Linked DNA regions of Ovis aries. The protein of the gene in region 2 interacts with the protein of the main gene of each other region in a pairwise test. Links are inferred from orthologs where the notes say so. Each region holds a gene or a part of one and is shown on either strand. Other genes may lie near its edges.

Region 1 (3,521 bases), on a different chromosome or scaffold from region 2:
TCAGACCCACTGAGAGATATCAGAGACCCCAGACTTAGATCTCAGAGAAAAGAAACTGCAGACTCAGAGGCTGATAACTCAGACACAGAAACTCCAGACCTTGGTTGGGGGGTGGGGGTGGGGGGGCAAAAGAGACACTCTACTAGCCCAGAGATGAACTCAGAAACCCCAAACACATAAAAAAGAATTTTTAATACCTCAGAGAGAGGGTGATTGCAGACCCAGAAACCTCCCCCTGCAAACAAAAAACAAGGACACTCAGTCCTAAAAAAGATACAAATACCAAAAGACCCCATAGAGATCCCTCAGAGACAAACTCCAGAGACAGAGATCTCAGGGAGACCTCCAACCCTAGAGTGGTAAGTATGAGATAACTCAGCCTGGGAAGTTATACCCACCCAGCAGACCAGAGACCCCAGACCCAGGGAGGAGGGGGAATACTAGGTAGGGAAAGTGGCAAAGCCTTTTTCTCCCTGCCTCCTCCCACCTATTTCTCCTCTCACTGGCCCCTCCATTTTTGGGTCAGAGGATGTGCTTGGGCCCCAGGGAGGTTATGTAGGGCAGGTCCTGGCTCCTAGGGGGATGGGTTAAGGGAAGGAGACCCAAGGCTGAGACGTAGACCAGACCCAGAGAGTGAAATAGGAAGGGGGTAAGGGATAAAAGGACCATCACTACTTCCTGGTGTCTTCTTCATACCCCCAACCTGCAGCCCTCCTCTCCCCCACCTTCTCTATCGATTCACAAGTCTGTCTGCAGTTTTGGGGCTTCAGTTAAGGCTGAGGCGCTCCATTTTAATCACTGTCTATCCCACTTACAGGGTCTTAATCCGTTCTCTTAAAAATGCATCTTTCCACCTAGTCGTGGTCTTGCCATGCCCTGCCTGCCTAATCACTTCCCCCTATAACCAGAGACAGTTGGTTTCTCAGATTATACTTGTGCATTCCCCAACTCAAGAATCTGTCAGTCCTAACCAAAATGGCAGGGGGCGCTCTCTTCACCCTCCGGCCCTGAGGTTCAATCTCCTAAGACCCTGTCATTTCTTAAGGCCTCAGGAACAGGGCTGTTACTAGGCACATTCCGGGGTTTAAGGATGAGCCCCCACTCCACAATCTGACGCATCGACTCTGCGGGGTCTCCAGCCCCCCTTTCCCAGCGCCAGGGCTCTCATCATGTGGCCTGCGGGGCGGCCCCGCGATTGGTCTCTTCGCGTAGTTCATTGAGGTACCGCTGCCTGAGGCGACCCGCCCCCTCACGTGACAGTGGAACGCCGCTGCGGCTCTCCTCAACCTGCAATTGGCCGCTTCCGGTTTACACGGAAACGGGCGCTCCATTTCCGTGCACGTCTGCAGATCCTGGTGTTGATTGGTTGGATCCTTCCTCGCCCCTCCCACCCCCGGAGGCGGGACAAACCGGGCCACGTGGGAGCGAGGATTGGCTGGCTTTGGAGGTTAGGGTAGTCCGGTTTCTACTGTCACGTGGTCTGCGCTGTTTTCTTATCACGTGGCTGCTGCCCAGGTAAGAAGAGGCTGCTCTTCTTGGCTTTGGGGTTCTTCCTCCACGTAACGTGTGGTCTCTGATATTCAACCCTCCTCTGCCAGCATAGGCTGCATGAGGCGGGGGCGGGCTCCCGCATTCCTGCTCGGCGGAGGGGTGAGTGATCGGCCCCGCCCCTTCCGGTCCTCGAAGCTTCGCCCATGACCCGTACCCCAAAACCCAGAGGTTGGCCTCCGAGGAGAGAGTGAAAACCGAGTCTTTGCCTTAAATTTTCCAAGCTTCTCTTGGTTTCAGTAATGTTTTTCTTCGGGATGCAGAAGAGGGCGGGCCTGAGTGTTTATGCAAGCGAAGTGTTCCCGGGGTGCAGTTTGCTGGGGTGTTTATGAGACGCCGAATCCACCCCCTGCTCTTAGGCCGCTCTGCTCCTGTCGCTGTTTTGGATGCCGATACTGCTGCCTGCAGCCTCTCGCCTTCTGTTGCTACCCCGAGCCCTGCTGTCCATGGCTTCAGGAAGTCCCCCGGCCCAGCCCTCGTCGGCCTCGGGCTCCGCCTATGTCCCCGGCTCGGTCTCTGCGGCCTTTGTCACCTGCCCCAACGAGAAGGTCGCCAAGGAGATCGCCAGGTGGGGACTTCAGTGTGAAGCGAGGAAAGGTGCTTATGAAGGGAGAGATGGGGGAGCGCCTCCCGCTGCTTCCTGCCTGTCTCTGGGCTGCCAGTGCAAAAATCCGGGTCATGGGGCCTTTAAAAAGGTGCTCTCTCTTCACCTTCAGGGCTATGGTGGAGAAGCGCCTCGCAGCCTGCGTCAACCTTGTCCCTCAGATTACATCCATGTGAGTCAATTAGGGGTTGGAGGGTTAACCTAACTCAAAGAACTGACTAGCAGTCTTTTACCTTGAGGGAAATCTTTGCCCTCGCAACACTCTCTTCCTTACCTTTTCAGCTATGAGTGGAAAGGAGAAATTGAAGAGGACAGTGAAGTGCTGATGGTGAGAAATGTTTCTTACCCGACAAAAACTTAATTCTCTGACTATTTACTTTGACCCCTATCCCTCATCCCAGATCCTGGAATCAAGTTCACCCCCTGATTCAACCATGTTTGTCTTCACCCCTCAGATGATCAAAACCCAAAGTTCCTTGGTTCCAGCTCTGACGGATTTTGTTCGGTGAGAACTTTGATGTGGGTAGAGGTGAGGGTGTAAACTGTGGGGTGAGCCTTCCTGGGCAGTCTGAGGGGACAGACTCCTTTGGGTAAGTCTTTGCTCCCCTATCGTTTCCACAGGTCTGTGCACCCTTATGAAGTGGCCGAGGTGATTGCATTGCCTGTGGAGCAGGGGAACCCCCCGTACCTGCAGTGGGTGCGCCAGGTGACAGAGTCAGCTCCTGACTCCAGCACAGCCCCGCTGTGATGAACCTTTGTTCTTGCCATGGTTTTCCTCATAAATTTCAACACTCCTACCTTGTGATGACTGGACTCTTTAATAAATCCCATTTTTAGTTCTCTCTTCCATTTTACTTTCTCCTTGTCAAAAAGTGAATTTGGTTGGGAAGATCAGAAGTGCTTCTAGTCCCTTTCTTCTCGTTTTTTGGAATGATTCAGGGCTGCTAAGTTTGTTTATTTATCTTTATTTCAATGATACAGAGCCCAGGATCTGTTCTTCTCCCCTCCTCAGTCTCCGTCCCCAGGGGTTAAATAATTTTTAAAAATATTTAAAAAGCTGTAACAAAATAACATCAAAGGAAATGAGGGAATGGTTGGGGGGAAGGTCAGGAACCGTGAAGGGAGTAGAGGAGAGCGAGCCTCTTCCCCAACCCCCAACCTGGATTCCAGCCTGGACAGTAGGGGGACATACCCCCCTAGTGCCCCAGGTACATCCCAGCTGTAGGTGAGGTCAGAGGTCAGGGTATGAAAGTGCCGGTGTGTGTCAATGGGCAGTTAGGCAGAGGCAGGCTGTTCAGAAGATGCCCCCACCTCCCCACTCAACCAGGTACTGCACAGAGCCATCAGGCCGCACTCTCCGAGCAAGGAC
Region 2 (4,059 bases):
AACTGAGCCCCCTCTCCTGGCCTTGGAGCCTGGGACAGAAAGGCCTCTCCCTCTCTCCCACCCCAGGGAAGTGGAGGAGGCCCATAGGGCTGAGTTCATCCCCAACCCCACCTCTTTCCTGCTGGGCCACCCTAAGCAGGTCACTGAACCTCTCTGGGCCTCTGTTATTTCAAAGAGTGGAAATAATGAGGTCTTTTTGGAAGGGTGGCTGAGAGCATAAAAGAAGAGGGGGTGCTCAAGATCTTGGTACTGGGTAGGTGCCAAGAGAAAGCGGATAGTTACTCAGTACCTCAGGAGAGGCGGAACCCCCGGGGCCCTGAGAAGACCAGGAGTTGGCTTCCATCAATGAGAAGAACAGGGATCCGGGCGCTGCCCAGTCTCTCCGCGGGGTCCTCAGATTCTGGGCTGGAGGAGGACTCAGGGCAGGGCGCCCCAGGCACATACCCTGGGAATAGCTCAGCCCCACCCCTTCCCAGCACCAACCCCCCCCCCAGAGGATATGAGGCCCAGAGAGGGGCAGTTCCGCGGCCCCTCCTGCCCCTCGCCTAACCCCGGCTGGGGCAAGAGGCCCGGAGCTTCCAGGGCCTTGGGAAGCCCGGCGCCCTCCCGCAAGCAGCCAGGCGGGGCGGCTGGCAGGGTCACGGTGGGGCGCCGCCGGGGACTTTAGTTCGATCCGTGTGCGGGACGCTGTCCTCTTTGTGCGGGAGCTCCCGCCCTGCTTCTACCGCTTCTCTCCGCGAGCCGCTCCGCGGCAGGGACGTCCGCGCTGCCTCCAGACCCGCCCTCCCTCCGCCCGGGGAGCAGAGACCCGCACCCCCGGCCCCCAGCCCCGCGGGCCCCCCTGGGAGCGCCGGAGTTGGGGTCCGGGCCGGGGAGCAGGGCTGCGCGCCGGCCAGGGGCTGCCCGCGCTGTCACCTGTGTGTAGCCGGGGGCGCGGACGGCAGGACGGGACCCCCCCCCCCCCCCCCGCTCCGCTTACCTGAGCCGCCCGCGCCCCCTGCGGCTCCGGTCGGTCACCCGATCGAGCAGAGCCAGGAGCGGCGCGGCGCCTCCCGCCCCCTCCGCCCTCCCCGCCCCCTCGGCTCCCTCCGCCCCGCCGCCGCGGCCGCCTTACCATAAAAGGTGAAGCTTGGGGGAGGGGGCCCGGGCTCGCGGCCGGGCGGAAGCGGCCCCTACCTGCCCCCCCACCTGCCGGCCGCGCCCCGCGCCGCCCCCTCCCCGTTCCCTTTGTTCCCTCGACCCCTCCTCCCTTCCCCTGGGCCCAGGCCTGGAGGGTGGGCGGCCTCCTCGGGTGCCCACTCTCCTCGTCCTTTGTGAACCCAGAGTGCTCCTCCCCCAACCCCCTCCCCGAGGTCGCCTGGGGTGGTGGCCCCACCAGTTTGGCCTGGGATCTCCCACGGTCTTAAGGATCGGGTGGGACCTGGATTCCCCGGACGCTCACTAATCCTGTGACACTAGGCATTCATTCCACCTTCTTGAGCCTCAGTTTCTTCGCCTCTAAAATGGGGCTAATGACCTGTCTGGCCCCTAACGCCTTCTGCAGGTGGGTCCCCAGAGTCCTGGGGGGACAGGGTCCTCCGGGAAGCCTGGTAGACAGGGCCTCGCTGGCAATCAGATTACCCGGTTTGCCACGCTGGACCCGGCATCTGACCCCTCCACTGCTCCAGCCTCCTGCTCCTCTGTCCCCCAAACGTGGAATGGGGAGGGAGAAGCCCAGCCTGGGCTCTGGGGCAGGAGATGGAGCCTGGATGGGCCGCCTGAGTCCCTGGAGGCCCAGGGAACATTGCTGGGAAAAGGAATCTGGGTCTGATTCAGAGGCAAACAGATTGCTCTTTTGATTAAAGCCACAGTGGCGGAGGCCAGGGGAGTGCTGGGGCCGGCACCGTCTGCAGGGAGGCCAGGTAGGGTCTGGCTCTCCTCTGTGGGCCCAAAGCTGCAGTCACGCTGCTGGCTGGAGGGCTCTGGGGCTGTTCTTGGGGGTCATGCTTCTGGGGGCTGGTGGGGGGCGCTGAACACCCTGTCCTGTGCTTCTCTTCCTCCCCCACCCTGCCTCCCTAAATCCCTCACTCGTGTTTGGTCACCTCTCCCATCCTGCTCTGCATCCCTTTTTCCTTTCCATCCTCACAGCCAGTCCTGTAATAACGACAGTAGTAACAGTAGCTGCTGTTCATAGGGGCTTCCTATCTGATGCTCGGCCTGCAGACCTTTCCATTTAATTCCCGGGAGAGCCCTATGGGAAAAGGCTGATTATTCCTGCTTCACAGATGAGGAAACTGAGGCACAGAGAGGCTCAAAGCCGACACAAGAGGCAAATGGCAGAGCTGGATTCCAACCCACAGCAGCAGGTGCCCCTGGGTACACACGCCACCCTGCAGGTCCCAGCGGCTGGCGAGACTGCCACCCTTCAAGCTGCAAAGACAGGTGACTCCCTCTCTTTTCAGCAGAGAGAGACTCGCACTCAAGGCTGCCTGAGCCCGTGGTCAGGGTCATTCCCCTGCTTGACAAGGTTACCTCCCTTTGCAAGCACCCCTTGGAACAAGATCTCTATACCTTCCCCAGGAGGAAGGAAAAATCCACTGGATGCCAGCCATGGGAAGGACCCTAAGGAAGAAGGTTTGATCCAGGGGTTTTCAGACCCTTTTAGCCATAGAACTCCCTTTTAAAGTGCATTGTGACTCAGAAGCTTATTTAAAGCAAATAAAAATGTTGCTACCTTCCCCTCACCTCCATGATACCTCCCCTAAGCACCTACCACACCTCCAGGTGGGACAGTGAGGTTGATGTGGGGCCTAAGGTCTCACTGACTCCAAGCAGGATCTAAGCCTTCCCTGCTGCTAAGCTAAGACTGGCTTGGAAGAGGGCAGGTCCAAGGGGAATGTGGAGTCCAGCTGCTGCCACTTACCAACTGTCCAGCACCTCTTTCCCACCTCTGCTGCTGCTCCCGGGGGGAGAGGAGCGTCCCGGACAAGGGAGTCTAGCGCCAGCCTTGGTGTCTGTGTCACCTCGGCAGGTGCCCGGCTTCCTGCAATGGAAACCCAGGAAGTGCACTGGATAAGAACACACGCCCTTTGTCTGCCAGCTTAGAGGCTCTGCTCCCCTCCTCCTGTCCTGCCAGCCTGGAACAGCTTTCTCCTAAGCCACTGAGCAAAAAGATTCGATCTGTTAGGTTTGCAGCAGCCGAGACCCTATAGAAGGACTATATTCATTGGGAGGACTGATGCTGAAGCTCCAATACTTTGGCCACTTGATGCAGAGGGCTGACTCATTGGAAAAGATCCTGACGTTGGGAAAGACTGGGGGCAAAAGGAGAAGGGGACAACAGAGGATAAGATGATTGGATGGCATTACCGACTCAACGGACATGAGTCTGAGCAAACTCTAGATGGTGAAGGACAGGGAAGCCTGGTGTGCTGCAGTCCATGGAGTCACAAAGAATCAGAAATGACTGAGAGCCTGAACAACAAGCTGAGACCCTGCATGGCAGGGAACGTGGGTGAGAGGCTGGAGAGTAAGATTTAGGGCAGTGGGGACATTTGCCGCTGTCCAGTCTGCTGGGGAACCTCCTACCCAAAGAGCAGTTGAGCACCTGCTGTGTGCTCAGCTCGAGTCACGGAGCCCACGAGAATCAAGTCAGGTGTCACCAGTCCTGGTATCCACAGGGGCTTCCCCAGTGGCCCAGACGGTAAAGAATCTGCCTGCAACGTGGGAGACCTGGGTTTGATCCCTGAGCTGGGAAGATCCCCTGGAGGAGGGCATGGCAACTCATTCCAGTATTCTTGCCTGGAGAATCCCCAAGGACAGAGGAGCTTGGAGGGCTACAGTCCATGGGGTCGCAAAGAGTCGGACATGACTGAGTAACTAAGCATAGCATGGAATAGTATCCACGGGGGAGTGCAAGACATAACAGTCTTTTCGTTTGTTTGTTTTGCCTGTACCGTGCAGCTTGTGGGATCTTAGTTCCCCGACAAGGGATTGAACCCTGGCCACTGCAGTTAAAGCACCTAGTCCGAAGCGCTGGACTGCCAGGGAATTCCCAACAAAAATTAATACGATGATTAC

The links.
Region 1: the proteins of FBLIM1 (region 2) and CUTA interact in binary tests that used the Homo sapiens proteins (3 or more experiments, as listed by UniProt). The two-hybrid records come from large-scale screens. The link is inferred for Ovis aries from reciprocal best matches to the Homo sapiens genes FBLIM1 and CUTA.

What each region holds. Positions count from the first base shown.
Region 1 is NC_056073.1:7,748,051-7,751,571, reverse strand, and holds CUTA (protein CutA), read left to right. Parts: upstream 1-1,455; 5' UTR 1,456-1,515; intron 1,516-1,598; 5' UTR 1,599-1,608; coding exon 1,609-1,650; intron 1,651-1,907; coding exon 1,908-2,116; intron 2,117-2,264; coding exon 2,265-2,324; intron 2,325-2,434; coding exon 2,435-2,480; intron 2,481-2,553; coding exon 2,554-2,657; intron 2,658-2,773; coding exon 2,774-2,900; 3' UTR 2,901-3,001; downstream 3,002-3,521. Other genes in the region: PHF1 (PHD finger protein 1), read right to left, coding at 3,447-3,521. UniProt on the Homo sapiens protein: May form part of a complex of membrane proteins attached to acetylcholinesterase (AChE).
Region 2 is NC_056065.1:51,111,817-51,115,875, forward strand, and holds the start of FBLIM1 (filamin-binding LIM protein 1), read right to left. Parts: upstream 2,838-4,059; 5' UTR 1,785-2,837; coding exon 1,621-1,784; intron 1,327-1,620; exon of another isoform or gene 1,115-1,326; intron 1,045-1,114; exon of another isoform or gene 290-1,044; intron 1-289. UniProt on the Homo sapiens protein: Serves as an anchoring site for cell-ECM adhesion proteins and filamin-containing actin filaments. Is implicated in cell shape modulation (spreading) and motility.